Linked DNA regions of Elephas maximus indicus. The protein of the gene in region 2 purifies or fractionates together with the protein of the main gene of each other region. This does not show direct contact. Links are inferred from orthologs where the notes say so. Each region holds a gene or a part of one and is shown on either strand. Other genes may lie near its edges.

Region 1 (7,109 bases), on a different chromosome or scaffold from region 2:
GCAGGGAAGGCCCCGACTGTCCGGCACAAGGAAAGGCAATGTCTGGAGGCTTGGCCTAGGTGGAGTCCGTGACCCTGGCCATGGCCCAGCCCAGCCCTCCTGCCTCTGAAACCCTCCCTTTCTCTTCACCACCTCCTTCAGCTGCCTGTCACCTCCCCAGAGAGGCCCTCCCTGACTGTCCTTTGGCACAGTGATTAAGAGCTCAGCTGCTAACCAAAAGGTCAACTGCCCCCAAACCCTACGGGGCAGTTCTACCCTGTCCTATAAAGTCCCTATGAGTCAGAACCTACTTGATGGCAGTGGATTTGGTCTCAGGTTCTCCTTCTTAAGGAAACCTGTGCTTGCCCTCAGAGAGGCATTAGACTTGTTTTTCTTTGCTCTTTTGTTCGAGGTCTGTCTCAAGGATTACACTCATGATCCTTGCTCAGAACAGTGCCTAATGAACTCTGGAAGCCTGTCTGGCTGATCGGTGCGTGGGAAGCAGGATCAGTGTGATCTAGGAGGTGCTCCAGAGGAAAGGCCTTTCAGATTCAGCTCCTGGCTGTGCCCTTGCTGTGTGATCTTGGCTGGACTTCTTTGCCTTTCTGAGCAGGAAAGCTACTGCTATTCTGTCAGAGGAGGGAGGAAGTCATGGTAGGCTTCCTGGAGGAGGCAGCCCAAGAGGGGACACTGAAGGCTGAGGAGATCTTGGGCAGGAGGCAGAGGGACCCCCAGCACATGCTCTCCAGATTCCTGAGGTCCAGTTGCTCAAAGGGGTCTGGGTTGTGCCTTGAGAACATTCTAGAAACAGGGGAGATGGGGGCAAGAAGTGGCAGGAGAGAGCAGGTATGGGGCCTCAGGATGGATTGTTGTGTGACCAAGAGCTGGTGCTGTCCTCTCTGGTCCTCAGGAGGCAAGTGTTGAGGAGGGAAGGGTCCAGGAATTCAGCCTTTTGAAGAACCTTTGATCCAGGTCCCTGGGGACATTCCAGGGGACACTTTAGCCAGGGAGCGGCAATGTCAGAAGGAAGGTGAGGCTGCCACCTCTGGGTGCCTGGAGTTTGGATCCTTCACACAGGGGTGCCAGCCCTACGTGCTTTACCAGTCCTGCCTCAGTTTCCTCATCTGTAAAAACGAGATGTTTCAGCTCCTCCTTCACTCCAGCACTCAGTCACCCCTCACTGAGCACCTACTGTATGTGGGGTCTCTGCCCTACTGGAGCCAAAAGTCTAGAAAGGGAGTTCTCCTGCCCTGCTCAGCCTCCCTTCTCAAAAAAATGGAGCGTGGGACCCCCGCCTGGCAGTGGGGCTTCAAGGGAGTGGCCCCTCCATAGGCACTGTAAATGCTACAAGACACCGTGTTAGAGATGTCCCCTTGCCTGGGGGCCTTGCAGGGTGGGGGAATCCCTAGAGCAAAGGCATGGAGGTGGGACCAAGGCGCTGAAAGAAAAAGTACCAGGGGAGCAGGTGGAGTCTGCAGCGGCTGGGCCCCAGCTGAGGTCTTGCTGTGGCTCTGCCGAGACCTGAAGTCCCAGCTGTGAAACTCCCTGCAAGAGCGAATTTCCCAAGCTAAGAAGAACCTGTTCACTTCCTCTCTCCTGCCCTCTCCACCCCCTCCCTCCAGCTCTCCACTTCCTCTTTTCCTCTTCCTCTGCTTGCTTTCTCTCTCTGGCCTGTTTACTGGCCAACTGAGCGCCTCCCCCACCTAGGCTGGCTGCCCTAGCCCCCTCCTGCACCCCATCTCCACAGGGTCCTCTCTGAAGGCTGAGGACACCCAGTCAGATGCCACTCAGTTGCCGTGGAGTCCATTCCAACTCATGGCAATGCCATGTGTGTCAGAGAACTGTGCTCCATAGGGTTTTCAAAGACTGGTTTTTCAAAAATAGATTGCCAGGGCCTTTTTTCCAAAGTGTCTCTGGGTATACTAGAAGCCCCAGCTTTTCAGTTACAGCTTTTCAGTTAACCTTCTGCACCTCCCAGGGATTGAGGACAGACAGGTGGTCAATTTTTCATTTAGCAGAGTAGGCCCCTGGGGTGCATGTGGTGGGAAGTAGGGAGGCCAAGACCCTCCAAAGGTTCAGTTATAAATGTGGGCCCAGCACAGTGATCTTGTGTGAGAAGGAGGGTGTATGTGGACCATGCTAATGGGCTCCCCAAGGAGGGGTGTTCTTGGATGGGCCTTGCAGGATGCATAGGAGAGCAAAAGGAAGTGGCGGTTGCAGGCAGAGGGAGCCAGAAGGCCAGGAATGTTACAGCCTGAGGCGAGGTGAGCTGGAGTGCCTGTCACTTGACAGGCCCCTGGCTGGGTGCCTGGGCAGAGGCCTCTGAGAAGAGGCCAGGTAGAGCTCAGGACCCTTGCCCTATAGCTCTGGCCCGCCCCGCTTGCTCAGCACCCATTAGGCTCTGTGCACACAACGGGAGCACAGCCTCATCAACAGTGAGTGGAAAAGGTTGCCCCCCAGCCTGCTGAATCACAGGGTTGGCAGATTCTGAGGCGGCTGGCAAGACTCCTGCCACTGAGAGACACAAGGCCAGGGACAGGGCAGTCCAGCCCCCAGGGAGGGGAGGCAGGGAGTGGACAGGCTGAGAAAGTGCTCCCAGGCCTGGGCGGTAACAGTGGAGCAGTGGCAAGTCACCTGGCAGGCCTCTGGGAATGTGTGCATGGGGCTCGGAGCTTATGACCTCCTCTGTAAGCTGGGTGGTGGTCACTCTGTCCATCTTCATAGTGCTCTGCCACCTCTTTCCTGGCCACAGGTACCACACCCCTATGAGGGCTAATGGAGCCTTCATTTCCACACACATTCCCCAAGCACGTGCTATGTGCTGCAAAGCCCTGGGCAGACAGGGTGTCCAGCATGGACCAGTGGTGGCAACTAGTGTGTGCCCCTAGCTGGACCACCTTCCTGTTTTCTTCATATGCAAGTCCAACTTCTTGTCACCAGCTCCAGAAGGCCTGCATGCCTCCCTAGCCAGAGCCACATGCTACTCTGGGATCCCATGGCCCTGGGCTTCTGTCTGGACACACTGACCAAGATGTGGCTACCCAAATCAGGCTAGTAGCTCCCGGAACAGGGAAGTGGGCCACTCACTGCTGACCACCTGGAACACTCCTGGGCATAGAGGTCCTGCCCAGTGTTTGGTGAACAGACCCAGGGCAAGAAAGAGTGACCAGAGGCTCTTGAAGGACAGCTCCCACCACCACTGTCCCCCAGCTCCTCTCTGGCACAGGCAGTGTCCCTCCCCAGTGTTCTTTGCAGACTCCAGATGGTCCAGGTAGGCAGCTCAGCTGTAGCTACACATGACAATGGATGGTGACCCAGTCCTCAGGGCTGTACTGAGCCCAGCAGGGCCTAGCAGCTGCTCGGCCACCGGCTAACGGCCCTGGTCTGGCCTGGGTGTGCCCAGGCAGCCCTCAGAGGCAGCCTGGCACCATGGGAACAGTTTCCTTGCTCCATGGAGCCCAAAGCCTGTGGCTGGGGTGGCTGGGAGACTTCCGCACAGTGAAACCTTGGGGTCCTGGGGCCTGGGCCCTGAGGTCCTTCTAAGTGGCCACAAGCCCCCTGACTCCCCCAACCCCTACCCTCAGCCCCAGACCTCTGAGTAGGGCCCCCCTGCTCCGTAGCAAGCTGAGCATTCCAGCCAGAAACCCCCAGCCCGTCCAGGCAGTTTCGCTAATGTTGGCAACGGGCAGTGACCCCTGACTGCCCCCACCTCACTTCCCCTCTCCCGCTGCTCCTCAAGCAGGTGCCCACAGCAACCAGGCCTCTGGCAGTACCCAAGCTGACCCGTGCCAATCGGGCGTGCACTGCTCATGTGACATCCACACCCCGAGGGTCCCGGATAGGGGGTGCGGAGAGCGGGGCAGGCGGTGGCCCAGGGCGCGCACCCTGGCCCACGAACCCAGCACCCAAGGGCGGCCAAAGCCAAAACTCTCCCTCCCTTCCTCAATCTCGCTCTCGCTCTCTCTTTTTTTTTTTTTGCAAAAGGAGGGGAGAGGGGGTAAAAAAATGCTGCCCTGTGCGGCGAGGCCGGTGAGTGAGCGGCGGGCGGCCAATGAGCGGCCGCCGTTCCGAAAGTTGCCTTTTATGGCTCGAGCTGCCGCAGCGGCGCCCTATAAAACCCGGCGGCGCGTCGCGCAGCCACTGCCGAGACCGCGTCCGCCCCGCGAGCACAGGCCTTTCGCCACCGCACCGCTACCGCCGCCGATTCACACCCGCCACCCCAAAGGTAAGCCCCTGGCCGGGACCCCGCGCACAGTGCCCCCGCTGATGGCGGCCCCGTGCACAGTCCCCCCGCTGATGGCGGGACCCCGCGCACAGTCCCCCCGCTGATGGCGGCCCCGTGCAGTCCCCGCGCTAATGGCGGGGCCCCGCGCACAGTCCCCTCCCTGATGGCGGCCCCGTGCACAGTCCCCCCGCAGATGGCGGCCCCGTGCACAGTCCCCCCGCTGATGGCGGCCCCGTGCACAGTCCCCGCGCTAATGGCGGGACCCCGCACTCAGTCCCCCCGCTGATGGCGGCCCCGTGCACAGTCCCCGCGCTAATGGCGGGGCCCGCGCACAGTCCCCCCCGCTGATGGCGGGACCCCGCGCACAGTCCCCGCGCTAATGGCGGGACCCCGCGCACAGTCCCCGTGCCCTCTTTCTGGGCAGCCAGCACCCCTTGGCCGGGTTGCCTTGGTGTCTGCCCACAAACCGCGGCCCCGCGACAAGTGAAGACCCGGGAACAAGGGCTTGGGAAGCACGGCCCTGAGGGGTTCAGTGGTCGGGGTTGGGGAGACCCAGCCTTTGTCTGAGCGGGCAGGCTGCTTGCTGCCAGCCGCCTGGCTAAGTGGGTGGGAGCGCGCGGCGGGCCCAAGCCGGGGCCGTGTGGGGGCTGGGGCGCTACTGCGCGTGCGTCCGGCAGCCGCGAACGCGGACAGCGCGGGCCGGGCCTGTAGGGTGAGGGCGGGGCGGCCGTCCCGGAAGGGGTGGGGTCGCAGCAGCCGTGAAGGCGGCTGCGCGCACTTAACTCCCTCCGCCCGCCGAGGGTGTGGCCGCGCGCCCAGCCGGGTTTGAACGGGGCTTGGGCGGGGCCGGCGTTCGGGGGGCGGGGCCTGGCCTGCGGCCGTTGCCGAACAACCTTTGCCTTTTATGGTAATAACGTGGCCGGCCCGGCTTCCTTTGTCCCGAGGCCGCGCGCCGGCGCCCCCTGGCGGCCCGAGGCTGCCGCGCGCCGGAAGCGGGGAGGGGCGCAGCGGGCGGGGCGGGGGCGTCCTGCTCATAGACTGCTCCCCGCAGTTCGCCATGGACGATGACATCGCTGCTCTCGTGGTCGACAACGGCTCCGGCATGTGCAAGGCCGGCTTCGCGGGCGACGACGCCCCCCGGGCCGTCTTCCCTTCCATCGTGGGGCGCCCCCGGCACCAGGTAAGGCGACAGTCTATTCGAAGTGGGTGGGTGAGTGGGTGGGGCTCTCTCTTGGGCGCGGCCCCTGGGACCTTGGGAAGGCCATATGGGCGGGGGTCAATGCTGACTGCCTCCTGCCCTTCTTCCGCAGGGTGTGATGGTGGGCATGGGCCAGAAGGATTCCTATGTGGGCGACGAGGCCCAGAGCAAGAGAGGCATCCTGACCCTCAAGTACCCCATTGAGCATGGTATTGTCACCAACTGGGATGACATGGAGAAGATTTGGCACCACACCTTCTACAACGAGCTGCGTGTGGCCCCCGAAGAGCACCCTGTGTTGCTGACTGAGGCCCCCCTGAACCCTAAGGCCAATCGCGAGAAGATGACCCAGGTCAGTGGCCAGATGGGGTCCTGTTGGGTGGCATCCGCCACCCTTTTTTAACTTTCTCCACCACGCTCTTTCTCACTTGTCCTTCTTTCTGCCGTTCTCCTAGGAGTCTCTTCTCTGATCTCAGTCTCCTGTGGAACTGTACAGGTTCTGTTTGCCTTTCCCCAGACGCAGTCTCTTTCTGGTGTTTGTCTCAGTGACTAGGTGTTTTAAGCCTTTAGTGCTGTGGGTGTAGGTACTAACACTGGTTCTATGCCAGAACCAAGAGGCTGGTGTAAGATGGCCTCAGAGTGTGTATTCAGTAGGTGCACAGTAGGTCTGAACTGAATCCTCATCCCCACCCCCAGCACTCTTAGCTGTGTTCCTTGCACTTTCTGCATGTCGCTGGTCTGGTCTGGCTGTTCCCTCCCCTCTTGGGTGGGCAGGGCCAGCTTCCTGTGCCTGACAAGGCCTCATGTCTTCCCCACAGATCATGTTCGAGACCTTCAACACCCCCGCCATGTACGTGGCCATCCAGGCCGTGCTGTCCCTGTATGCCTCTGGCCGTACCACCGGCATCGTGATGGATTCCGGCGATGGGGTCACCCACACTGTGCCCATCTATGAGGGCTATGCTCTCCCCCACGCCATCCTGCGTCTGGACCTGGCTGGCCGGGACCTGACGGACTACCTCATGAAGATCCTCACGGAGCGAGGCTACAGTTTCACCACCACGGCTGAGCGGGAAATTGTGCGTGACATCAAGGAGAAGCTCTGCTACGTTGCCCTGGACTTCGAGCAGGAGATGGCCACGGCGGCCTCCAGCTCCTCCCTGGAGAAGAGCTATGAGCTGCCTGATGGGCAGGTCATCACCATTGGCAACGAGCGGTTCCGCTGCCCCGAGGCCCTCTTCCAGCCTTCCTTCCTGGGTGAGTAAGCTGGGCTCCTGGCCCCTGCCCTGCACAAGGGCCAGGTGTCCCTGCAGCAAAACTAAATCTAGTCTGCCTTCCATTTTCTTCCAGGAATGGAATCCTGTGGGATCCACGAAACTACCTTTAACTCCATCATGAAGTGCGACGTTGACATCCGCAAGGACCTCTACGCCAACACAGTGCTGTCCGGCGGTACCACCATGTACCCGGGCATTGCTGACAGGATGCAGAAGGAGATCACAGCGCTGGCACCTAGCACAATGAAGATCAAGGTGAGTGTGTGTCCAGTCACATGAGTTGGGAGACGGCCACCAGTTTGTTGGCCATTGTGTGGGATGGTCCCAGTGGTTGTCCAAGCGGTCGTCAGCCATCTTGGCGTGTGGTTCCCTAGGATGTTCAGGAGGCTTTTCTGTCACCATGTGCCAGTCCCACAGGGCCGCCACATCC
Region 2 (6,958 bases):
AGATACAGCCAAGCACTTTTTCCAAAGTGGTTGCACCAATTTACACTCCCACAAGCAATGTATGAGAGTAGTTGCTCCTCATCCTTGACAACACTTGGTGTTTTAATTTGAGTCACTTTGGTGGGGGTAGGGAGACAGCAGTATCTTATTGTGGTTTAATTTGCATTTCATGATGACTAATGATGTTCAGTTTCCAAGAGCGCCTGGCGGATTTGAACTGCCGACCCTTTGGTTAGCAGCCATAGCACTTAACCACTACGCCAGTTCTACTCTGTCCTATAGGGTCGCTATGAGTCGGAATCGACTTGACGGCACTGGGTTGGGTGGGTTAATGATGTTGACCACTTTTTCATATGCTTATTGCTTATCTGGATATCCTCTTTTATGGTGTACCCATTTGAATCTTTTATCTGTTCAAAGAAAAATTGGTATATTTCTCTTAAAATAGATGTTCTTGATAAATTCTGTGTACATGTCCCTGGTGGCATAGTGGTTAAGAGCTACGAGTTCTAACCAAAAGTTCAGCAGTTCGAATTCACCAGGTGCTCCTTGGAAACCCTATAACCTCTATTCCATAGGGTTACTATAAGTCTGAATTGACTCGAAGGCAATGGGTTTGGTTTTTTTTTTTGTGGGGACGGGGTTTTGTTGTTAGGTATGTGTATTGCAACTGTTTTCTTTCAGTCTGTGATTTGACTTTTCACTCTCTTAAATGTGTCTCTTGATGAACAGAAGTTCTTAATTTTATTGAAGTTCAATTTAACCATCTTTTCTTATGTTTAGTGCTTTTCATATCTTGCTTAAGAAGCTTTTGCCTACTTCGTGATCATGAAGATGTTCTCCTACGCTTTCTTCTAGAAGTTTTGTTTACTTTTCACATTTAGGTCTTTGGTCAATTCTAAATTACTTTCATGTTGGGTGTGAGGTAGAGGGTCAAGATTCATTTTCTTCAACTGACCTATACCATTTATTAAAAAAGACCATCTTTTCTCCACCTGTTTGCAGTCGCACCTTTGTAATAAATCAGGTGGCTATATATGTGTGGGGAAACCCTGGTGGCGTAGTGGTTAAGTGCTGTGGCTGCTAACCAAGAGGTTGGCAGTTCAAATCCGCCAGGCGCTCTTTGGAAACTCTATGGGGCAGTTCTACTTTGTCCTGTAGGGTCACTATGAGTCGGAAACGACTCGACGGCAGTGGGTTATATATGTGTGGATCTTTTAATTTTACTAAAAAATATATACATCAGTAAGTGTGTATATGCATACTCCTGAGAGTGTATTTGAAGGAAGGAAAAAGGTTTGTTAATAGTCACTATGGCAGGGGAGATTATGGGTGATTTTTCTTTTCTTTCTTTTTAGTATTTTCTATTCCAAACAGTATTATTTTAAGACTCAGACAAAATAGATGAAATGTTTTTCTAAAATATTCCATGAGTGAAAACGGTGAAGGGTGCAGGTTGTTGGGTGATAGATGATAGTGTTAGGCTGAATAGCAAGGCAGAAGACTTCCTTAGTTAGATGTGGGCCTGAGGAAAATGGAAATGATTATTATCAAGAATGCTCTGTTGTAAGTGCACACTACTTAGCAATTTGCAAAATGTTTTCAGGTCCATGGTCTCCTACGCTCCTTTCAACAGTCCAGTGGGTTAGGCAAAGCCCCCTGATTATACCCATTTTACAGATAAGGAAACAGGCTCACGCTCACTGAGTCTAGCTCCAGCATTCACAGAAGACCATTTTATGCCAGGCCTTGTGTTAGCTCTGGGTCCAAGGAGCCAAATAAGCCAGAACCCTCCGGCAGCTTTAGCCTGGACAGAGGAAACAAGTAAATGGACAATTAAAATCTAGTGTGTACCTGCTATGTGAGAAGTAAATGAAAGTTGGTGTGAGAACATACAGGAGGGCATCTAACCTAACGTGGAGGGTCAGGAAAGGCATCTTTGAAGAGGTGACATTGAAATGAGTCTTCTTCTTTTTAATTATGCAAGTGATATATGCGTTAGAAATACAGATAAGCAAAAGAAAAAATCAGCTATAATTCTGCTACCAAGACATAACATCTGTTTACACTTTGTTATAATGCCTTTTAAACTTCATTCTCTCTGACACACACACACACCCGAGATACACACTCATACAACACACACATACAAACATCACACAAAAATGAATGAAATCCTGCTACAATAGCATTGTCTAATTTATTCTTCCTCACTTAAACCAATACATTTTTTTAAAATTAATTTTTATTAAGCTTCAAGTGAACATTTACCATTCCAATCAGTCTGTCACAAAACCAATACATTTTAAAACCAAGAATTTTAATGACTTGCTGAGTGTTTTTCAACATATGGGTATATCAGAATTCATTGAATCAATGTTTTATTATTGGACATTTAAGTTATTTCTAATAGTGACTATAAACAATGTTGCAATGAAGAACTTTTTAACCCAGTCTGTGCACTTCTTCCATTATTTTCTTAGGATGTATTCTCAGAATTTTTGATCAATTTACTTTCTGGCCTGTATCTTCAAACCTGGCCAACAGTGGGCATTTTTATCTTTCTTCTTTCTAATTTCATAGGTGACAAATGTCACTCCATGCTGTTTTTGTTCTTTTGATTAATTTTTTCATAATTGTTGGGGACACATAAATGCACATTTTTTTTTTTTAATAGCTTGGTCCTGTTTCTGCCCATTTTAATTTGGGTGTATTTTATTTGGGGGCTTTCTCATTGACTGGAGAGAGCTCTCTACCTATTATTGATAGTTATTCTTTGTCACAGAGTTGCAAAATGTTTTTCCAGTTTTCTTTAGCCTTTAGAATACGTTTTTTTCCTTTAAGTTCTTTTGGAAGACCAGTTTAATGCAAATAGTAAGGGAATTCCAAAAAGAAAGAATAATGAGGAGAAATTCGCCCTCTCGGATATAAACTATATTATAAAGGTACCATCATTAAAAGCATTGTGTAACTAGCATGGGAATATACAGAAAGATCAATAGATAAAATTTAAAATCAGCTTCAGGTATATATGAATTTAGTATATAATGAAGGTGGTACCTGAAATTAGCGGAGAAAATGGTGTTTGGAGAACTGGCTATTAAAAAAATGCATTTCTTCCTCATTCCAAAATCAAAATAAATTCCAGATGGATTAAAAGATATGTATAAGAAATAAAAAAAATTAACAAAAAGAAATAAAAAGTGACTTTATCTTCTTGTAGTGACAGTAACTCCCCTCCCCCTAAAAAAAGCATGACTTGCCTACCTAAAAAAAAAACCAAAGTATTTGTAACAAGCACCTGAAGGAATGTGTGCGAGTTAAAATCAGGTAAAAAGGGTCTTGGAAGGGCATTTCCTGCCTGAGCAAAGGTCGGGAGGCTCACAGAAGTGAAGCCGGCTGAAAATAGATAGGGTCAGGAATCGAACTCAGGACGCCCGCAACGGAATCCGGGGCTGAGTCCACACCCGCCCCCATAATTATGTAAAACAGCATTTTTCCCATATATGGTCTTTAATATCTGTTTTTCTGGCAGGATGACATGGGATAGGAAAAACACAGCTCGCGGGGCCGGTGTCAACACCCCCAACCTTCCCTGCCGGCTCCCGCCGGCCTCGCCCCAGCATAGGCAATGCACCAAACCCAGGCCAAGTCCTCCGCGCCCGAGCCTCCTCCTCTTGATTGGACCTTGGCTACGTCAATCCTCCTCCTCCCAAACCTGTTTGCAGCTGGACCCGCCCTCTGGGCGGGGCTCCCGCCTAGGAAGCGCGGGGGAAGGTGCAGCGGGTGGAGGTGGAGGCGGATGAAGAGGACGAATGCCCGCCCCCTGGCTCCCCTGGTCCCGCCCACCCCTCTTCCCATAGGCCAAGCTGTCCGTCCATCAAGACCAGGAACAGGCGGCTGCGAGGGCGGGGCGGGAAGGCGGCGAGGAGCAGAGCTGGGTGCGGTGAGGCGCGCAGATCACCGCGGTTCCTGGGCAGGGCACGGAAGGCTGAACGAGGCTGACCTGCTGCCGCTCCCGCCTGGCACGCTCGCCCCACCCGCCGCCGCTCGAGCGCTCAAAAAAGCCCTCTCAGAAGCAGCAGCGCTTGTTCCCCGGGGCAGATCCAGGTTCAGGTGAGCTCGCCCCACCGGCAGGTCCCGCCCCGGGCAGGCGGACTGGCGGGCGGGGGCGGCGGCGACGGGACGCGCGGCGTCAGGGGCGAGCGGGCCAGCGTGTGGTTCTCGGCCTCGGTGCGGCCGGCGAGCGGCGCGGGCGGGCGGCATCTCCGCGGGCCTCAGGCCCGGGCACCGCATCCTCCCCGGAGGGGCACGGGACCCCTGCGCGGGCGCTCGGGACGGCGAGGCTTCCGGGGGCGGGCGAAGGCTTCGGGGCCGGGGCTCCGGGCACCCTGTCCCCTACCCGCCTGGGCACATTCCCCGGACGGGGCGCGCGGGAAGCCCCGACCTCCCTGGCTGCCGGGGCGCGCGCCCTGTCCGCGCCTCCTAAGTGCCCAAGTCGGCCAAACTTTTTAACCCCTTCGGAGGAGCCCTGCACCTCGGACCCAGCCGAGCGAGCGCGAGTGAGGCGGGGGGCTCGGGGCAGCGTGGACTTCTGGCAGAGGCTCTTTTGGAAGTTTCCAGGCGTTTTCGAAACAGAGGTAACGGGCAGGCGGGGACCGTTTGGCAGCTGTCAAGGCGGCCTCCTGAGTCAGAATGGGACAATTCCTGCCGCAGACATTGCACTCGGCTTGGTTTCCGCCCTCGCTCCTGACTTCCTCATTCGCCCGGCGGAGTCTGCGGGCGAGGAGGGTGGGGAGAGGTGCGTGCAAAAGGGGACCTGGCGGGACAGGGCCGCGACGCAGGAAAGGCCGCCCCTCCAGCCCCTCACTTTTGACTCTGTTACCTGAGAATGCCTGCAGCTGTCGGGGCCTCCCAGGCGTGCACCTGATTGCGCACGCGGCACCCCGCCTGACCAGGGGCCGGGGCTGGAACCTGCTGCTTTGGGACTAGGCCCGGGCTAGCGCATCTTTTCTGTGTGGGCCAGTCCAGGGGTTCCTAACTCCCCTCGTTCCCGGTGCAGGAATCCTCACGCATTCTGTCCCTGGGCCACGTCCAGGGCAGGTTCGCGAGCCCCCGACCCTCTGGAGAGCCTCGTGGTTTAACGCTGAGACAGAGTCACCTCCAGGACTAGCTTGCAGGCTGCCTCCAGGTTGGGGGCAGGGTGAGTGCCAGGGCTGAGCCTGTGACCCCACCCAGGGGCGTGGGGAGAAGGCTCCTGGGAAGTCCCAGGTCCTGCTCCGCGGGGCATCTGAGAGGCCCAGCCTCTTGTCGGTTCACTGCATCCTGTTCTGGGTTTAACAGGATTTCAAAGTAACTGTTGACGAGGATGAGCCTTAGCTCCTTCTCGGTGCAACACTGCGGCCTTTTCTGGCTCACTGTCTAAGCCCGATGTGCTAACCTCACTGGATGGCTTAGTCCCTTCTTGGTAAGGAGGAAGGCTGCTTTAAGGCCTGTTTAGGTAATCACTCGATTAATATTAGTCAGTTTACATGTGAGGATGCTATGGTGGGGGGGAGGGTACACAGATGTGTAATGGAGCAAATATTTAAGTGGCTTCTTTGTGCCAAGGACTCTGCCAGGTGGTGGGGGTGCAAGGTTGAGTAAGACCTGGCCCCTTCCTTTAGCACATGGGATAAATCTGTCGATGACTTTAATATGAGGCAGAGATGACAGGGACCCCAGAAAGGTACTGTGAGTCATGGAAGTGGGAGAGGGAGCCAGCCCACCTAGCAGAGATCTTGGGGGCCCCTGGAGGAGGCCTCTGCCCTTGGGACACTTACAGTCTTGGGTGGAAACAGTGGAAGGATGACTGAAATACAAAGCCAGCCTGTGATCAGTGTCCCAAGAATGCCATAGACAAAGGACTCGAGGAATTCCAAGGCGGAGAGGAGCCACTTCTGTCTGGGAGCTGGGAAGCTGCTGCGAGCCAGGAACACATCGCAGGATTGGCAAACTGAGGCACGCATGTGGTGTTGGAAAGTGAGGAGTCATTTAGTGGATAGTTGGGAGGTAATTAAAAATGTCAGCATTGCTCAGTGTAATTTGAGAGCCTCCATGCTCCAGGATGGCCAGGCCCAGTGACACTGAAGCGGTCCATTCTCCATGCTCAGCAAGTCCTGGCAGCACCTGTGGGCAGATCCAGGTGCCCGAGAGCCAAGGTTGGCGGGTTCTGTCTGGGGAGTTCTCCAGCCTGTGGTAGAAAGGCAGCCAGAGAGGCACATTATTTGGAGGTCTGCTTGTTTGAGAGGGTTGGGGCCCTGCCTTTCTTGTTTTTTATTTTTAAACTTTTTAACCTGAGGGGCTACAACCTCTCTCGTAGGATGAAGGGCACATGTTGATGTAGCTTGTCTTTTGCCTGCGCTTGCTCTAGAAAAAACAAAACAAGGATCTGTTAGCTCTTCAACTGGCGAAACACACTCAAAAAAAAAAAAAAAAAAAAAAAGCACCATTGTTGTATCGCTTGGTAGGGTATTGCTAGAAGCCAGGATGGCCCAGCTTTCTTCACTTCCTCTTCTCACTAATCCTCCAGTAAAGTACTTAAGGCAGCCTTGACCAGCTTGACATCTTTATTTCAAAAGGAGAGGAGGGGTTGGCCGTAGTTTTCCTCTGAGCCCAGCCCCTGCCCTTGGAGGGGGAGAAACAGAAACCCAAAGCAAAGGGGAGGAAAAAAAAAATCCATGCCTTGACAGCTTCTTCCCAAGCATCATGTTCCAAAAATATTTAGAAGAACAAAATCTGTGTGTCCTCTTAATTAAACAAACATCCTAATTTGCTGAGCATAAAACAGCATCTCTGCCCGGGGCAGGAAGTGCATTTTCCCTTTGTGCAACTCCAGAGAGCCACTGCCTCTCGGCCTTAACCCTTGGTGCGCTGAGCCCCTGGGCTCAAGTCCTCCAGTGACAACAGAAGGAAGCCC

What was found. Proteins that work in one complex are often made in the same cells at the same time.
Region 1: the proteins of MYH9 (region 2) and ACTB purify together in Homo sapiens (affinity purification with western blotting; 4 studies listed by BioGRID and IntAct, with this or other methods). This does not show direct contact. The link is inferred for Elephas maximus indicus from reciprocal best matches to the Homo sapiens genes MYH9 and ACTB.

Annotation. Positions count from the first base shown.
Region 1 is NC_064830.1:100,217,241-100,224,349, reverse strand, and holds the start of ACTB (actin, cytoplasmic 1), read left to right. Parts: upstream 1-4,107; 5' UTR 4,108-4,204; intron 4,205-5,255; 5' UTR 5,256-5,261; coding exon 5,262-5,384; intron 5,385-5,514; coding exon 5,515-5,754; intron 5,755-6,220; coding exon 6,221-6,659; intron 6,660-6,752; coding exon 6,753-6,934; intron 6,935-7,109. UniProt on the Homo sapiens protein: Actin is a highly conserved protein that polymerizes to produce filaments that form cross-linked networks in the cytoplasm of cells.
Region 2 is NC_064822.1:179,980,881-179,987,838, reverse strand, and holds the start of MYH9 (myosin-9), read left to right. Parts: upstream 1-3,901; 5' UTR 3,902-4,116; intron 4,117-6,958. UniProt on the Homo sapiens protein: Cellular myosin that appears to play a role in cytokinesis, cell shape, and specialized functions such as secretion and capping. Required for cortical actin clearance prior to oocyte exocytosis. Promotes cell motility in conjunction with S100A4.